3 linked regions of the Caenorhabditis elegans genome follow. The gene in region 2 interacts genetically with the main gene of each other region. Each region holds a gene or a part of one and is shown on either strand. Other genes may lie near its edges.

Region 1 (4,667 bases), on a different chromosome or scaffold from region 2:
TGAGTGTTCTAGTTATTTTGTGAAGATTTGAAAAAATCCAGTTGAATTTATGTAAGAGACTCAATGTAAGCAAAAGCCTAAGCCTAAGCCTAACCATAAGCCTAAGCCTAAACCTAAGCCTAAGCCTAAGCCTAAGCTTAAGCCTAAGCCTACGCCTTAGCTTAAGCCTAAGCCCAAGCCCAAGCCCAAGCCTAAGCCTAAGCCTAAGCCTAAGCCTAAGAATAGGCCTAAGCAAAAAAACAAAAAAAAACAGAAAAATAATCCTCAAAATTCAAATCAAATTTGAAAAAAGGAACATTTAACAAAAATTGTCAATCAAACAGTTCAACATACAAAAATGAGAGAGACAGATCAGGGGAAAAGAGCACACACTCTTGCTCAAAAATCCTACATTTCTCACTCTCTTTTCATCTCCACAAATTTCGCGTTCCATTTCGTCCACTAGGTCAACAAGAAAAAACGTCGACGCACGCAAAAAAATGAGCTCATTTTTTAGTTTTAAACCATACTGGTTTTAAACACAAAAATACTGTTCACAATAATTTCAGCCTTTCAAAAATTTGATCTGTGTACCTACGTTCGCGGGCGCGCGAAAAAAGGACGAGATGGAGATTTTGGGCTCTTTCTCTCGAGAAAAAACAACAGTCTCTGTTTCTATTTGTTTCCTTCTCCTCCTCCTCCTTCTATCCCAAATACCATTTTTCCTGCAAAAAAAAGACGAAAAAAGAGAACAGACGGACATAAGAAGAGCACACACAAAAACGGTACGAGCTCTTGCTGCTGCGAAAGGGAGTTTTTGCGGGGCTGCTTACGATCGAAAAGTGCACATTTCTACAGAGACCATATTGAGACCGGATAAAAACAAATTAAATTTTTATGGAGAAAATTCACGGCGGAAAAGTCGAGGAAAAGCTTGAGCTTGATCACTTTTTGGTCTCGTTGAACTTTTCAAACTTTTTGTTTGCTTTTTAGAGCACAGATTTTTGAACGAAGCCTACTTGCTTTCAGAGATTTCCGGCAAAAAGGTGGAATACAGTCATTTTTAAATTTTGCTTAAATTGTTAGAACAAGAAAAAAAATTTTGTAAAAAATTCCAACAATTTCAAAATTTTTTATGATAAAAAAACGCCTAAATTGAATTTGAATTCCCGCGCAAACAAACCAAAATTTTTTCGTTTTCTGGAAAAATAGTTGTATCCTTTTTTTCTTTTGTAGCCGACTCAAAATATCTTTAAATTCAAAAAGCTAAGCCTAAGCCTTAGAATAAGCCTCAGCCTAAACCTAATACTAAGCCTAAGCCTCAGCCTGAGCCAAAGCCTAACCTTAAGCCTAAAACTAAGCCTAAGCCTAAGCCTAAGCATAAGCATGAGCCTAAAGTAAGCCTATCTATCATTTAAAGCAATATTTCAATTATTTTCAAAACTATATTCTGAACAAAAAACTCCAATAAAAAAGGTACCTGTCTGCCTGCCTCAAGCTTGCGTATCTATTGGGATGTACTTAAAAGCACCTTGCAAGGCAGGCACGTAAGAAGGCAAGCATGACGTTTTTAAAAAAATTATTTATTAAAATGCATTCATTAAAAAATTGAGTAATTTTTTCTCCGTGTTTAGGCAAAACAAAACTAATGAAATTAAAAATGTTTCAAAATTTCAAAATTGTTTTCTAGTTCGAAAAAAGTGCGGAACACTTCTACGAAAAAACACCCCCTGTCCCCTGTCCATAGCCCCCGAATGCATTTCTAACTAGATTTCAAAAATGTTTCTTTTTCACCCTCGTTTGAATGTGTTCCCTATGCAAACCTGTGGATATCTTCCAAATTGTGAAAACATATGATGTGGCAGGAGAGAATTCTGATGGAAGTTCAGTAGATCCGCTGAAAATTGAATTGAATTAGTTATGATTTGCCGAAAATCTGGATGGTCAGGTACATTGGGGGTACGTTTGAACTGGTACATAAAAATGGGAAAGACACGTGGTTTAGAGAAATGACACGATTTTTAAAATGTAGAAAATTACTTTCAAAGTCACCATCAAAAGTGAATGGAAATAAATCGGGGCTCCATGAGCAGTCTGCAGAAAATTTTTCATTTTTTAGGGTTAGGTTTAGGCTTAGACTCAGGCTTAGGCCCAGGCTTTAGTTTAGGCTTAGACTTAGACTTAGGCTTAGGCCTAGGCTTAGGCATAGGCTTAGGCTTAGGCTTAGGCTAAGGCTTATGCTCAAGCTTAGGCTAAGGAATATGCTTGAACTTTGGTTTAGGTTTAGGCTTATGCTTAGGCTTAGTCTTAGGGTCAGGCTTAGGCTTGGATTTGGGCCTAGGCTTACTAGGCTCACTCGGGAATATATTGACTTAGAAGTACGATAAAAGTTTATCTTCTTTTTGTACGGGTAGATGAAGTAATTGGCTACTAGAGTCTAAAATAATATCTTACCGACGACCTTCGGAAGACCTGGGCTCAGGTTCAGGCTTGGATTTGGACCTAGACATGGGATTTTTCTTAGGCTTTGTCTAAAGTTCAGTTCTTTGATTTAAGCATAGGCGCAGGCTCAATCTCAGTTTTAAGTTTTCTGCTATCAAAATTGATCGCATTTTCTATTCTTTGAAGATACAGAAATTGAATTTAAATGAAATTTTCGAAACAAAAGCTTTGATAAATCTACCTTGATTAAAATGCGGAAACGGGTTTGTCGATGAAGCAGCAGTTGCCGAGTCAATGGAGTGTTGCGACAAAGCCATATTCAAATTAGTGATCGAATGATGTGCTGGTGTGGATCCAGTTGATCCGGTCACATTGTCCGAGTTGGCACCGTCCGTTGAGTCAGTGCCGTCGGTTGACCGACTTGATGATCTCACTGAAACTTTAACTTTATTTTTTATGATCAGTTTCTTGAAATAATCAAATCCTCACAGTTTGTTCCAACACCAAAATGGGTGGTAGATCCGGAGCCAGTGGTGGTTCCAGCTATTCCAGAGTCCACTGGAGAGTTGAATGCCGAATCTAGAACAGTTTGATCCATTGCGTTGAAGAAGTTGGCTTGATCCTCGCGAAGCTGAAAGGAAAGTATATATTTCTTTATAGATTAAATGCCTAAAACATCTACTTGGATTAATTTTTATTCTCAACTTTGATTATAGCTTATATCTCAGTTGTGGTTTTCTTCGACTAAAAAATAGGCAACTAACAAAATATTCGTAAAATCTTTTTCTACCATTTCCTAGTTAATACAGTAACCCATCGGCTGTAAAATTAAATATTACCTGGCTCCAAAAATTTTGGGAAGACCCATAAAAATTACACGGCCACATTGCTAATAATCTACACTTTGAGAAAAAAAAATACTATAGGAAAAAGTTAATTAACAGAGGTGGGGCCTAAAAACTCATACTCATACCGTAATCGGAAAACACGGCAGGTGGTCTATGTTGATTTTTTTTTGTTTTTGCATAGACTTGGATTTCACAAGTCGAGGAACAACATACTGCACCTGCCCCGAAGTACGGCGGTGAAACTTGGAAAGTGTAGCATTATTGTACCTAACGAATACTTTAATCTAATGAAATTCAAGACAAGAAAAAAATCTCCTAAAACCATGTGACCCAAAGAAGAACTGAAAGATTTCTTATATGCCCTTTGTCTACTCCTTTCGATTCCCTTTTACTCGGTTCCGATTACACGTGCCCACCACCTGCCACGAAACGTTCGAATTCACTTTTTTTCCCGTTTCATTTTAGTCGGTCTCTCCATTTCGAGACACAACTCATAAATATGGAAAAGTGCACAGTGCACACAGCTGTGCAAGTTTTGAAATATGTACAGCAGATTTGAAGAGGGATTGGGGTGAAAGTTAGCGGGTTTTCGTGAAGCCGCCTAAGCAGTTTAGAATACTGTAAAAGGAGCAGGCGAAAAATAGCGTCAAGAATTTGGAAACCTCTTTTTGAGATGTCCTTATCAGGGCTGGGCGGAAATTGCCGGTTTGCCGATTTGCCGAAAATTTTAATTTCCGGCAATTTGCCGGTTGCCGGTTTGCCGGTTTGCCAAAAATTTTCGTTTCAGGCAATTTACCGTCTTGCCGATTTGCCGTAAATTTTGAATTTCGGCAAATTTCAGGTTTGCAGTTTGCCGAACATCTATTTGCCAGAAGTTTTTAGAGGGATTTTTAGTAAGACGGAAACATTGTGACTTTTTGAATTTTTTCCCGTTTTCTTTATATATTTGCATAGAATTTGCTTACTTTTCAGAATAGATGTAGGATGATCATAGGATGCGTATAAATTTGCCGATAAAAATTGAATTTCTGAAATTTTCAAAAAAAAATGTGTGTGCAAAACCACAATTTGCCGAAAATTTTCGGCAAATCGGCAATTTTCCGGTTGCTGATTTGCCGGGCCATTTCTATTCCGGCAATGCTCCGATTTGCCGGAAATAATCGTTTTTCTTTTTGTTAATAATTTCTCATTCTCTCCCCCCAACCTCTACCCCAAACTTCCCCAACTCTCCATACCTACCGTTATCACCAGCACTAGCATGTTTCAAGAAAGTCCCCAAATACATTTTCAGTAGATCGTAAAAACTATAAGGTTTTTACGAGTTGTGCCACCACGCTACCGTACTAGTAGTGATGAAACAACTGATAAAATGTAGAGAGACACTTGTAATATACACTT
Region 2 (7,625 bases):
GCTTTTATGTGGTCTGGAAGAAAAATAAAACAATGTTTCAGTTAAAAATGTCATCTATAATTTCATAAATTTATTTATAACCATAAAAACCATTTAGGACTAATTAGGCATTAAACAAGGAGATCATACACATATCAAAATGAAGGCATTAAGAACAATTTGAAACATGTTACAAGAAAAGGCAAAGATAGTAAAGGGGTTTTTTCAAAAGTGAGGTTTTAGGCAGTTTCAGGACTATATTTATTATTGTACATTCCACGGATTCCATGCATTATTGGAATTATCTTGATTATTCGGGGTTCCAGTCGGTGGAAGCCCGGCTGCTTGTAGTTGTTGTTGAAGTTGCTGGAGTTGAGCCGCCTGAGCCAAATCCATTTGTCCGTAGGTTGGAAGTGAGAATGGACGGAGTTGCTGTTGTTGCTGCTGTTGTTGTGGATCAGAGTTTGTGGAGAGATTGTTGAATTGCGGTTGGACAGCACTCCGGTTATGTGGAGATCTGGAAAATAATGTTTAGAATTAATGCGGCACTGCTTTTTGCAAAATTTACAGGTAACAAACCTCATCACCAAGTTAGGTGTCATCAAAACTCCATGTGTATTGTCTGATCCTTCAGGTCCACCACCACCACCACCTCCTTGACCACCTCCAACAGAATCTCCCGGTGAATCCTGTCGCTGCATCTGATGATGATTGTCCCGTAATGGAACATTCATCATAGACATACAGCCAGGTGATTGGGCATGATGTTGATGTTGAGATGGATGAACGACTGAGAAGGCACGCTGAGGAGATGAAGGGTTGCCGTAAGTTGATGGTCCACCGTAATCGTTGGGATTCGGAGAGTACGTCTGGAAATTGATAAATGAGAAATTTCTAGATTCTAAGTTTGTATAACCCCAAACGGCCGATTTTTCAAAAATCCCAAAAACCATCAATTTTTCCTTGTCGAAGCAGCTGAAATATAGTTTCTATTAAACTATAACCCGTTATTGCATATTTTCGGTACTAGATCTTGCTGAAATTCGCCGATTTAGGCACTTTTAAAGTCGATAGGCATCCAAAAATCATCAATATTGGCATAATATGACCAAAATTGGATGCTTATTGACTTTAATAGTGCCTAAATCGGCGAATTTAAGCAAGATCTAGTACCGAAAATATATGCAATAACGGGTTATAGTTTGAAAGAAACTATATTTCAGCTGCTTCGACAAGGAAAAATTGGCGAAATTTCAGAAATTCTGTCGCTTGGCTCTTCGTTAATTCAATAAACCTACCGAAAAGTCATTAGTAGCCTGCCAATTGCTAACAGCATCATCAGAAGTAATTGGACGGAACAGAGCATCCGGATTATTCACAATATTGCTCGCGGCAGCCAACATTCTCTGTCTCTTATACTTTCTTCGTTGAGTCTTTTGGAATGTGAGCACTTCCGAATTGTGATGCTTGATGATGTGCTCCTAAAAATTATGAAAATTATCAAAAATTATCATCTAAAATGCTCAAAAACCTTAAGCTTATCACGCCGACTAGATGCATATTCACACTGATCACACTTGAACGGCTTCTCCTCCAAATGAATCCTCTCGTGACGGACCAGATGTGATTTTTCGATGAATCCACGGCCACAGATCTTGCAGAGATGGGCGCGAACCGCCATGTGGGTACGGAGATGGGCCGCCAGTTGGCTTTTTTTGGTCGACGAGTAGTCGCAACCGGCTGAAAATTAACAGTAATGTTTTCAGGATCTTTAAATATGTCATTTTATAGTGTAGTTTTCAGGATCTTTAAATATGTCATTTTATAGGAAAAATAACAAAAAATTGCTCAGATCAACTCCATAGCTGTTTAAACAATACTCCATGTTTAAAAACTCGAAAAAATTACGCACAGCGTGAAGCGAGCTGGGAAAGGCCCTGCATTGGAGAAGAAGAAGCTCTGAGAAAAGTTCTCTGCAAAAGCGCAAAAACTAATGAAACACGTCGAAATGATTTTATGTCGAGCGCGACGATAAAACCATTACCAAATACCTACAGTACCCCAGTGTGTGTTCGGCAGAAAAAAAAAGTGAAAGTGATATGATCCACAGATGATCTAACCACTGTTTCTATCTTCAGCCGCCGTTTTCTTTCGTTTTTTCGACCATTTTTTGTGCGGAAAAGGCGGCGCTGTGTCGCCAAGGAGAAACGAAAATTAATGGAATAGTACGGGTGATAAGGAGACGCAGCGAGGGGGGTTTTTGGTTGGAAAAAAGTAGAAGTGAACTGCGCAAAAGTCATCCAAATGATGGATCGGTTGGCAGGTGATAACGGAACTATTCTGGCATTCAGTGTATTCCAATGCGTGGTGTTACAGGAAATACAAACTGACCAATGTGACAGCTAAAATTGTCTCCAGTATGTTGACGACGATGAAGGGAAAGATGATCGGCGGTTTTGGTGGCGAAACCGCAATCCTCACAGATATAAGGCCTGAAATTTGGAAGAATTTGATGGAAATTGTGAAAATTCTGAATTTGAATAAAAGTCGCCTTGTTTGGTTTTGAGACAATTATTATTATTGCCTCCAAACGTTACTAGCAAAATTGGAATTGCCTCAAAATCAGATCTTGCATGGTTTTTTATTTCAAATTCGCACATTATTAACTTTCAGATCTCGAAATTTCATAGTAAAAACTTACCTAGGATCATTATGACTAGCAACATGATGATCCAATGTACTATGCTGTTGGAATCCTCTTCCACACTCTTCACAGTGTAATGATCGATCATCGAGTACAGAATGCATTCGTTCGTGAGCAAACAGTTGAGAACGAGTTCGACCTTTCCATGCACATTCACCGCATTTGAAGAAACGCTCGTCGGCTGAAAATTTGACAATTTTAGAGGGTTTTTTTGTTTCTTTTAGAAAGTAATTTTGGAAAACAATTTTATTCAGCCGTTTTTTTTCGGTTTTAATGTGTTTCCTTCGGCAAAGTCAACGTGTGTCTGATGGTAAATTTAAAAAAAAAACAGAAAATTGAAAGCTTAGCTATTCATTCGATTTTTTGGAGATTAATTAAAAATTTAAATTGATATTGTTGGTAAATTCTGAAAATATGAAAAAAACATTATCGATCAATTTTTTTACAAAAATTAATTTTCATAATTTGGTTTTTTAAATGAAAATAGGTTTATATTTCAAGAAACATTGTGAATTTCAGAAAAAGAAACGATTTATCTGAAAATACATTTAATTTTTTTGTAGTTTCAAAAAAAAAGAGTTTTTTTTTCAAAATTAAAAAATGTACGTTTTTTTCCAAAATTTTTGTAAAAACTCACTATGCTGAAGCCTATGGGTCAAAAACTCTTGTATCTCATTTGAAGTGAACGGACACGTTTCACATCGATACGGTATCTCTGTCCAGTGCTCAGCACAATGAAGATAGAATTGTTTGCTCCAATTGGTTTCAAATTCACATAAATGACACATATAATACGTATTGCGATTGTGATGACGAGCTTTGTGCTTTTCGAGAAGCTGAAAATATGAGGAAATTGTTGAAGAATCGATCGAAATATTTTACAACACTTTTCTGGTTTTTTTTTTTTTTTGGTTTTTTGGAACATAAAACTCATAAAACCAGCAGAAGATCGTTCGTACACGAGTTTGTTTTTACATTTTCCCAAAATATGGAACTTTACATCAAAATATTTTTAAAAAAATAAATTATGCATGAAAGTTTCCAAATTGTGCTGTAATTCTTTAAAAAAATATTTTTAAAGATATATATTATATAGACACAAAAATTTGCAATTTTCGAGCCTGGTCTCGACACGACAAATTTTCGTTAGAACCGAAAACAATTATGCGCCTTTAAAGATTACTGTACGGTGTTTTTGTTGATTTTTCATAGTTTTTTTTTCTAAAATTTAAGCTTTTTAAAAACTATTTAAATTTCGGAATATTTGGTTGATAAATAAATATATTTTATCGAAAAACTAAAAATAATCGATAAAAACTCCTCAGATTGAAAATACAGTAATCTTTAAAGGCGTAAATTTTCTTGATGTAGCCAAAAATCGTCGTGTCGAGTTTTGTATATTAAATAAACGCCAAAATATGAAATTTTCGCCAAAATCTGGTCAGGTCTCACCACACCGACAACAGGTTACTGTAGCCCATTGTTCGGTGTGTCGAGACCTTTTTGACGTCTAAAAATAGAATAAATCATATTGACGGTTTAAATTTGAGAAAAATAATATTTTTTTCGCATTTTTTCAAGGTTTTAATTGATTTATTTTTTGTCAATACCTCCTCATTTGCAGTCCGCAGTCCACAGAAAATACAAGTGGACGGTCCATTCTCATCAGGTTGATCTTCTTCATCTTCACAATCATCTGGATCCAAATTGTCAACTGGTCCATAGGTATGACATCCTTCCAATGAACATGTAGCATATACACCATCAATTTCGTCTTCGTCGATCCATGGAATACCTGGAAATTTTATTGATAAGGAATTTGACAGAAGATTTCTTCAATTTTTGATTTTACAATTTCACAAAATCCCTTTTTTTTTGAGAAAAAAAACCAGCTCACTTTCATTTTCCGTCGCATTAATCGGTGGAATTGGGTGCAAATGATGTTTTTTCATTCCTTTTGGTCGTTTTAATCTAAAATTTTCCATTGAATTTTATCAATTTTTTCATATAATCACTAACCGCTTCTTCTCATTTCCCGGCTGGAATGCAATCTTCATTTTCAGTCGATTATTAACATCATTTCCGTATTCAACAACTTGTGCAGATGTTGGATGTCCATCAGCTATATAATCATCTGGATCCTCTTCAGAATCACTTGAATCATAAATATCATCTTCAAATTGAGATGGATCGTGGAGAATCGGAAGATCAACGATTTTCTGACGAAGACTGCTCAGTTGAGTCGAGTACTTTTCCATAAGCATGTTATTTGTTTCCCTACAAAAATTATTTCATCAGTAATAATTTTGTAAACTTTAACAACTCCACTTACATGACATGTAGTAGCAAAAATCGACTTTTCTGACTTTTCGATAGCAACGGCGAGTAATCCAGAAGAAATTCCAGTGTGTCAGCTGAAACTTCTCGAAATTCGCAGGATTCTAGTAGTAATCGGAAGATTTCCTCTCGCTTCGATACTTCTTCACCGACCCAGCGGACTATTAATCTGAAAAAATTACTGTTTTAGTCATTTTGGAACGAAAAAACTCACTTTAAATAAGTGTCAGAAGTAATACAATCCACGTATTTCGGATCTCCAATGAGTCTTGTCAGTTGTGTATACGTGTAACCAATTATATCTCTGGATTCCAGTAAACATCGATTAAGATTGCTGTCAAAGTAGTCTGTAGCAGACTGAAAAAAGAAATTCGAAGTTTCTCGCTTTTAAAGCTTTAAAAATTCAAATTCTTACTTTCACAAGTCCTGGTAGATTATATCTCTGAGCTAACGTTCGTATTGATAAGCAATTGGCCGCGTCTAGATATCGATCCAAATAAGCTGCACAATACACTTTTAGCTTCACTATCTGAAAAAAACGGAATTATAGCAGGAATAGTCGATCGAAAAATCAATAATATTACCAGAAAATTATTTGCAAATCTCAATAGCTCCGAAACACTTGATCGATCGATAATCACTGTTCCACTGTACATATAATTGAGGAATAACTCGAAAACTTGTGGAGATTTGCTATTTATTGTGAGCTGTTCCTTTGTGATTTTGCAATATTTGAAAATTGCGTCAAAATATGGACTGTGAGCTGCTAAAATGTTTCGATGAGCCGCAAATGATTTGTTTTGAACAACAATTTCCACATCACAAAATCGGCCGGTTTTTCGTTGATATTGTAATCGTTGGAACACTGAAAAATAAAAGTTAATTTAATTATCAAGCCAAGATTGAATTAAATACAAAACTCTTACACATATGACTGGTTTGCCCAGAACTATCATCAAATGTCATTGGACAGAGCCCTGTGTTTTCGGAACTAGCTACTAATGTCATCTGAAATTAAATTGAAATAATTTTCATTGCGATTTTATAATTTATTCGATGGGAAACTCACATTTTATCGAGGAAGACGTCAATAAACTTAGAATAAATGCTCCGATTCAAATCGGGTGAGGAGTGTGCAGACGCGCTCTACTGAACAATCTAAAAGATTATCGATTTGCAAATATTATTTCAATGGATTTTTAACGATAGTTATATATTTAACGAAATTCAAATTTTATTCGAGATTTCAAAAAAAGAAAATATATATCTGAGCATAACGACACATAAAAAATTTAAAACTGAGCGAAATTCCAATTTGTAACATATTTTAACAACGAATTAAAGCTGATGTAGACATTGTTCTAATCGGCGTTTTTTTAATGAATTAACAATATAAGTTAGTAATAATTCAAGAAAGAAAAAATAAATAATTAATCATCAGGAACCGGCGTTTCAATTCTAGAACCATTCTCGTATTCTCCATATGGTGTTCTATAAAATTGAATGACTTTCACAACGAAATCATTCACTTGTTCGTCTTCTTCTTCGTATTCTCCAAAACACGGAACGCCATTATTGTGAATTGTAGACTCAAAATCTTTGTACTTTGTATCGCTTTTATTCTCCAGAACAATCAACATCGGAGTAACAATTTCAGACGCATGTGAGACCGGCTCCACGTCTTTCAGAAATTCAGCTTCAGGGTTTTCTGTATCAACTGCACACGTTGTGAATGGAAATTCGAGCATCGGCCGTACGAGTGCACATCCTTTATAGAATTTCTGAAAATAGTGAATTAAAAAATATGAAAATCCATGAGACGCTAAATTTTGTGATTTTCGTGCCAAAAATAGAAAAATATCGGGGTAACGACACGACATTTTTTGAAAGTTAAAGGTGGAGTACCGAAATCAGAGACTTTGTTTTTTTTTAACTATAATGTCGCAAAACTGACGGATCTATCAATAAAACTTTCAAAATATTTCTGAAGAAAACATGTCGTGTCGAAACCGGGTATTGTATTTTTCACCAAAAATCGCAGAATCTCGCGTCGATGTAATATCCCACCTTATGTTTGATAATCAGACTACACGCCACAAAAGATCCAAATTCAAATCCATACAAGTAAATATATTTTTCATCTAACCGCGCTCCGTGTCTCTCGAGAACTTCTAGTACAGTTTCCTGTAAAAAAAATCATAAAATGAGGAAAAAAACGAACGATTCTCTACATGAACATCATTAATACATTCCGAACCACAATTCTTTGGAAAGCAGGTTCCTGGAATTGCTATAAATGGCTCCCGATAGTTTACAACTAGCACACAGAAGCCACAAGTTACCATTGTAGAGAGCACAGGGTCAACGGTACTGAAAATTTAAATTTAATTTTAAATTTATAAATCAATTCTTTATAAACAGGGAAAATTGCTATTTGAACATTTTTAAATTAAAAAAATAAAGATAGAAAATTGCGGTTGAAATTGAAAGCTCGATCCGTGAATTTTGCAATTCTTTCGATGCTTTTTTTGTTGATTTTTCAATAAATTTTGAGTCTAAAGAAAAAAAATCTACCTAACGGTGAAATTAGGTTCTAATCCGGAAA
Region 3 (4,901 bases), 770 kb from region 2:
AAATTGGGTCTCAATGCGAAAACGAATCCGGATTCAAACGTACAACACTAATAATTAGGACTTCACAATTTTAGAAAAATAGTTCAAATAAAGAGTGATAACGAAATTTGTACAAGTTTCGAATTCCTGGGAAACAAACTCTAATGGTCGAAAAAATTTCTAGAAAAAAGTTAAGTTCTCAACGTTCTTAAATACATTAGAATTCTATGAAAATCAGATTTTCCCTGAATTCTACAGGTTTCAAAATTAGGGGGAAAATGTACTGATTGTGAAAAAAAAAAGATCCCAGGTTCCGAGAAATTTCAATTTTTTTTTGTAAGATGTTTTTTTTTCCAAAAAGCTTCCAGAATATTTGCCTAGTTTTCCTCATGCTTTAAAACATTGAAAATCTCTCAAAATTTGGTTTTGGAGAAATTCTACGGGACTTGAAACTAGCGAAAATGCACTGACAAAATGGGGAGAAAAAGTCCTAAAAATTTCCAAAAAGCTTTGAGAATGCGTTATAAATCTGGGAAAATCCGATTATGAAAAATTCGACGGATTTCGAAATAATCGAAAAAAAAACTCTGCTTTTTTCAGAAAAAGTTTCAAAAAGCTTGGCCTAAACATTGAAAAATTAATAATCTCAGAAAATTTGGTTTTGGATAAATTCTACGAGCATCGAAGTTTGGCAAAAAAGTTTCAAACGAAATACCGGGAACTTGGAGTTAGCTTCGTGGGTTTTTGTAATGAGCTAGTCAAATGGTACAGACTCGTATCATAAAGTCAAATTTTATTTGATGCGCTGTTGATAGCTAGGGTCCTATTCGACCTTTTAGTCCACATACAGCCCCCTCCCTACCCAACCAATCAACTTGAAAGTTCAACTCAAACATCTCATTGTCTTCTCAGTCCTATCCACCACCACTACCACACGTCAGAGACCATCGGAGAGTGTAAAAACAACCGGACGCCGAGAGAAGCTAGCCGAACACCACGTGACACTGTCCAAGAGGCAGACAGAGACCCGGGGGGGGGGGGGGCTACGTGCCAAACGCAAGATTTTTTCAGCGCCCGTTTTTCGTTTTTCAGCTGTTCCGTCTAGGGTGGAGTCATCTGGGAGTGGGAGAGACCGCAGAATGTGGAAGGAAAAATATGGAATGGGCGCCGTGGCGCAAAAGTGCTTGAAAACAAATACATGGCTCAGGGGGGGGGGTCATATTGTTAAAGCCAATCAAGAACAATTTTTTTGTAAAAATTCAAACTTCTATAATTTGACCCTACGACGTTAGGCTAACAACAGATGCCAAAAAAGGGAGATCTACAAGAAAAATGAAAAGATATCAGTTTCAGGGGAGCAAGTTGGAAGAAATTTTTACGTAAAGTTTGAAGATCTATAATGTCGAGCAATTTAATTGTGTGCCTACGCCTTTAAGCGAAGAAGAGCAGGGTTTAAGCTTATTTTGAGCCAAGAAACCCCAACTCTTGAAAAAGGTACTTTTACACAGATTAAAAAAAAAGAACCACAAAACAATTTAGTTACCGGGGAGCCCTTTCAGGCCCACTTTTTTTCATAAGAAAAAAATTCCAAAAATTCTGCTTTTTTTCTTACTATTAATTGAGCTGGGTAAAAAAAACTTGTAAACTACCTTTAAACTTTCCATAAAATCGTTAAAAATTATGTTAGAATGCAGTATTTTGTTTCGTTTTTTGTTTTATTTCTGTAGAGACTTTGAGCTCAAACAATGTAAGAAAACAAAAATTTTCTTTTAATAAAATTTGAAACTAACCGGTTGAATATTGCCGAACAACATCTGATGCGTCTGCTGCATCTTCCTTGGACTACTTAATGCCGCTCCACTGCTCCCTCCGCCAAAGTAGCTCTGTGTAGGCGCTGAGCCGAACGGTGTCGACGTCGAGCCCATCGATCGTTGTGCGATTGGAATCAGATTTCCCGTCTCTCGACGTTGTTCCATCTCAAAATACAAAATAAGAAAAGAGATAGAAATCATTATGGAAAGATAACTACTAAATTTCGGTCGTTGATGCACCATGAGCGCTCTGCTTTGTTTACTACTACTATATTGGCGGCGGCGGCGGGCGGGAAGTTGGCAGTGTGCCAAAAACATTGTGTCTATATCTCTCTAATTTGGGAGATAGGGAAATCAAAGCCGATCAGAAAACTGAGCAGCCCTGTTACTTGATAAATTAGCTGCCCCTGTCGCCACCGCCTCGCCGGCCCCAAAGTGATGACAATTGGCGTCGAGAGATGAGAAAACTGAGTTTGAAATTCGATTTGTGATTTGAAATTGAAATCGGATCAAGCTTAGAAAATGGGCGAAGAGAGCAAAGTACAATTTTAAGCGAGGTTTGTAAATTTTTAATGCGAGTTTTGGCTCGCAATGAAAATGGTAATGCGATTGGTAAATTGATAAAGTAGGTCAAAACTGATATCAGCTCAAAGAACGTTGATAGGACTGAAACTAGAAGCCTGTGTCAAGCCCAAACGGACCGCCGAAACCACAAACTACAAAACAATCAAGTCTCATTCGCTCTCTTGTTTCTTTTCTCTTTTTGTGTATTGTCACCACACATGACCGGTCAATCAATCGTCAGATGGGGGTCTTATCTTGAGCGAATTTCAAGACAAAGTTCTGGTGAGTTAGGCTACTCAAGTGTCCCGGAAGGAAGTTGGGTGCCCGGAGCAGGAAACTAAAAGCGGGGGGAAAGAGAGCTGATAAGAAACGGGGCTATTTGAAGGGTGTAAAGACCAAATGTCGTTGGCCTAAACCTGAACCTAGAAAATTATTAGCCCTTACACTTTTGCCGGCGCCAAATCGAAACTGCGACGCGTTAGCCTGATATGGCTCGTCATCGTAGAACTGTTGCTGGGCTTGTTGTGGTTGCTGCTGCTGTTGAGCACCCGGTGGCTGCTGGGCTCTCGGATTGTTCAATCCGAGGCCGCCGCCACCGCCTGGTGAATTTAGTTGGCGGATCATGAATGCTCTTATTCGCTGATTTTTTTTTTCAGTATCGGGATCTGAGAATTAAAAAAAAATCAATCGATAAAAAGGTATATTGGTTGGTAGAAAAAAAGGAAAAAAATTCGAAAGGGGGAGAGGGAAAAGAGCGAAAGACAAGAGAAGAAACCGAGTGGAAGGGTCGGGAGAGAGGCGCCCAAAGGGGTCGCGGGAGACCGAGGTGATACGAGAGGACGAGGCGAGAGAGCGGCAGACACAATGTGACATATCAAGAGGTCGTCGCCAGCAACAGCAGCCCCTCCCCAAAGGATCGAGCGAGAGGCGCGAGAGATGGGGCACACGGGCGCACACGCGCCCGCCCCTATCTCTTTCTCTCACAGCCTCCACCACCGATCATTTCGTTTATTACTGTGTCCCCCACCTCCTGCCAAGTTCTTGTCGAGACAATGGCGATTAGGCTACTTAAGGGCAGTTGGGGGTGGCTAGCTGTCTGCGTAGCTGGAATCCTAGAATACTAAACTCCTAAACAAAATCATTGGCCCCATCCTAATTACAAGATAGTAACGGTCCATATAGTTAAGACATCAGAGATTAGGTCGAGAAAAATAAGAAGAACACAACAAACTGTATTCGGAGGAGGTGGCCAGAGATCTTTTTTTTTGAACAGTTTGATGGGCTTGATTTGATTAGAAGAAGATTAAAAGATGAGGGAGATCAAAATTCGGTTTTGAAAAATCTGAGAAATTCAAAAGATAAAGCTAGCTTAACAATTTAAGGCCTTTGTTCGGACAAGGATTTTTTTCTAGGTTCGGGCAATGGAGCAGTATGCAATCTAAGGTGATCTAAATAAAATCAAAAAGTGTTATTAGATGTCCTGAACAAAATATTCCAAAAATTCCTACCTTGAGGGCGAACAATTAGGAAGCTAAGCCTAAGAACCTAAGCCTTCTGGAGCTGCACCTAGGGACTTCTGACATTTGAAGCTTACTTAGGTCGTTCGAAACAGGGTTTTCAGGAAAATTAGAATTTTTTAAGCTTCCGAGGTTCAGAAACAAAAAAATGGCGAAAACGGATGGATCAAAAAAGACAACTTGAAGAAAATGTTATCGTTCTATGATCCGAGTAGAATTTTTACCCAGCGGCTTTGCTGGAAGTTTTAGGGGGTCTGGAAGTGGCACTCTATCAATTTCAAAAAGTGAGACCTCACAAAGTCTCTAAGTCAACAAAAACCTGGAAAAGTCGATTTTTTTTCAACCCAAACACAGGTTATCATCACAAAAACATGACAAAGAAATGATCCAAAGCAACAATGACGCCATCAAAAGTTTGTTTTAAATTCCAACCAACGCAAAGAAAATACGAAAATAAAACAAAACTATTCGACAAAACCCTCTCTTTTTAGGCGACGAAGGAGAATTCGGCCTCCCGCCGCCAACTGATAAGCGCGGCGCCTATTCTCTTTCATAATTAGTGTGTGATGATTATGATAGTGATATGTGTATGTACAATGAAGTTTTGGGAATTTGCAAGACGCAGAGAATTGTTACTCGGCAAACAGTAGGGGGGGGGGGGCTAACTGAGAAATAAAGGAGGAGTTGGGGCGCCGGATTGGTGGTATTGTGATATTTCCAGAGGTCGGGGCAAATATTGATGATTAAATTGAAAAAGGGTTTAAATTGACAACACTTTTTGCTCAATTTCTCGTAAGTTTGAATTTCAGATTTAGAGTCCGAAACTTAAGACCCTAGGCTTAGATCTATAGGCTTGGCTCCCTGGTCCCAAGGCTTGTAAGCTAAGGCCATGAAGTTTGCCTCTAGGCTTAGTTCTTAACATTTAGGTACCTCCCTAGTGGTGTTCCCAGAACGTCCCTAGTGGTGTTCCCGGTAAAGGGGTTTATTAGCTCCAAAAGTTAAAGTCCCAATGCTTAGGTTCAAAGGCTTA

Evidence for each region.
Region 1: of eor-1 (region 2) and lin-29, changing one enhances a phenotype caused by changing the other (phenotypic enhancement), as found in Caenorhabditis elegans (one large-scale study listed by BioGRID).
Region 3: of eor-1 (region 2) and hlh-30, changing one enhances a phenotype caused by changing the other (phenotypic enhancement), as found in Caenorhabditis elegans (one large-scale study listed by BioGRID).

What each region holds. Positions count from the first base shown.
Region 1 is NC_003280.10:11,930,206-11,934,872, forward strand, and holds the start of lin-29 (C2H2-type domain-containing protein), read right to left. Parts: upstream 3,020-4,667; coding exon 2,911-3,019; intron 2,861-2,910; coding exon 2,663-2,860; intron 1,877-2,662; coding exon 1,803-1,876; intron 1-1,802. UniProt on the Caenorhabditis elegans protein: Transcription factor which regulates the expression of various genes, including those involved in cuticle synthesis and maintenance, such as collagens, and in lipid metabolism.
Region 2 is NC_003282.8:4,793,149-4,800,773, forward strand, and holds eor-1 (Zinc finger protein), read right to left. Parts: upstream 6,040-7,625; 5' UTR 6,029-6,039; coding exon 5,947-6,028; intron 5,886-5,946; coding exon 5,605-5,885; intron 5,550-5,604; coding exon 5,436-5,549; intron 5,378-5,435; coding exon 5,235-5,377; intron 5,190-5,234; coding exon 5,016-5,189; intron 4,961-5,015; coding exon 4,703-4,960; intron 4,655-4,702; coding exon 4,581-4,654; intron 4,479-4,580; coding exon 4,294-4,478; intron 3,520-4,293; coding exon 3,321-3,519; intron 3,265-3,320; exon of another isoform or gene 3,116-3,264; intron 2,865-3,115; coding exon 2,681-2,864; intron 2,472-2,680; coding exon 2,371-2,471; intron 1,720-2,370; coding exon 1,511-1,719; intron 1,461-1,510; coding exon 1,278-1,460; intron 849-1,277; coding exon 559-848; intron 497-558; coding exon 244-496; 3' UTR 46-243; downstream 1-45. Other genes in the region: dpf-7 (Dipeptidyl Peptidase Four (IV) family), read right to left, coding at 6,451-6,801, 7,088-7,204, 7,252-7,390, 7,595-7,625.
Region 3 is NC_003282.8:4,025,109-4,030,009, forward strand, and holds the start of hlh-30 (Helix-loop-helix protein 30), read right to left. Parts: upstream 3,020-4,901; 5' UTR 2,979-3,019; coding exon 2,799-2,978; intron 2,704-2,798; exon of another isoform or gene 2,620-2,703; intron 1,956-2,619; coding exon 1,770-1,955; intron 1-1,769.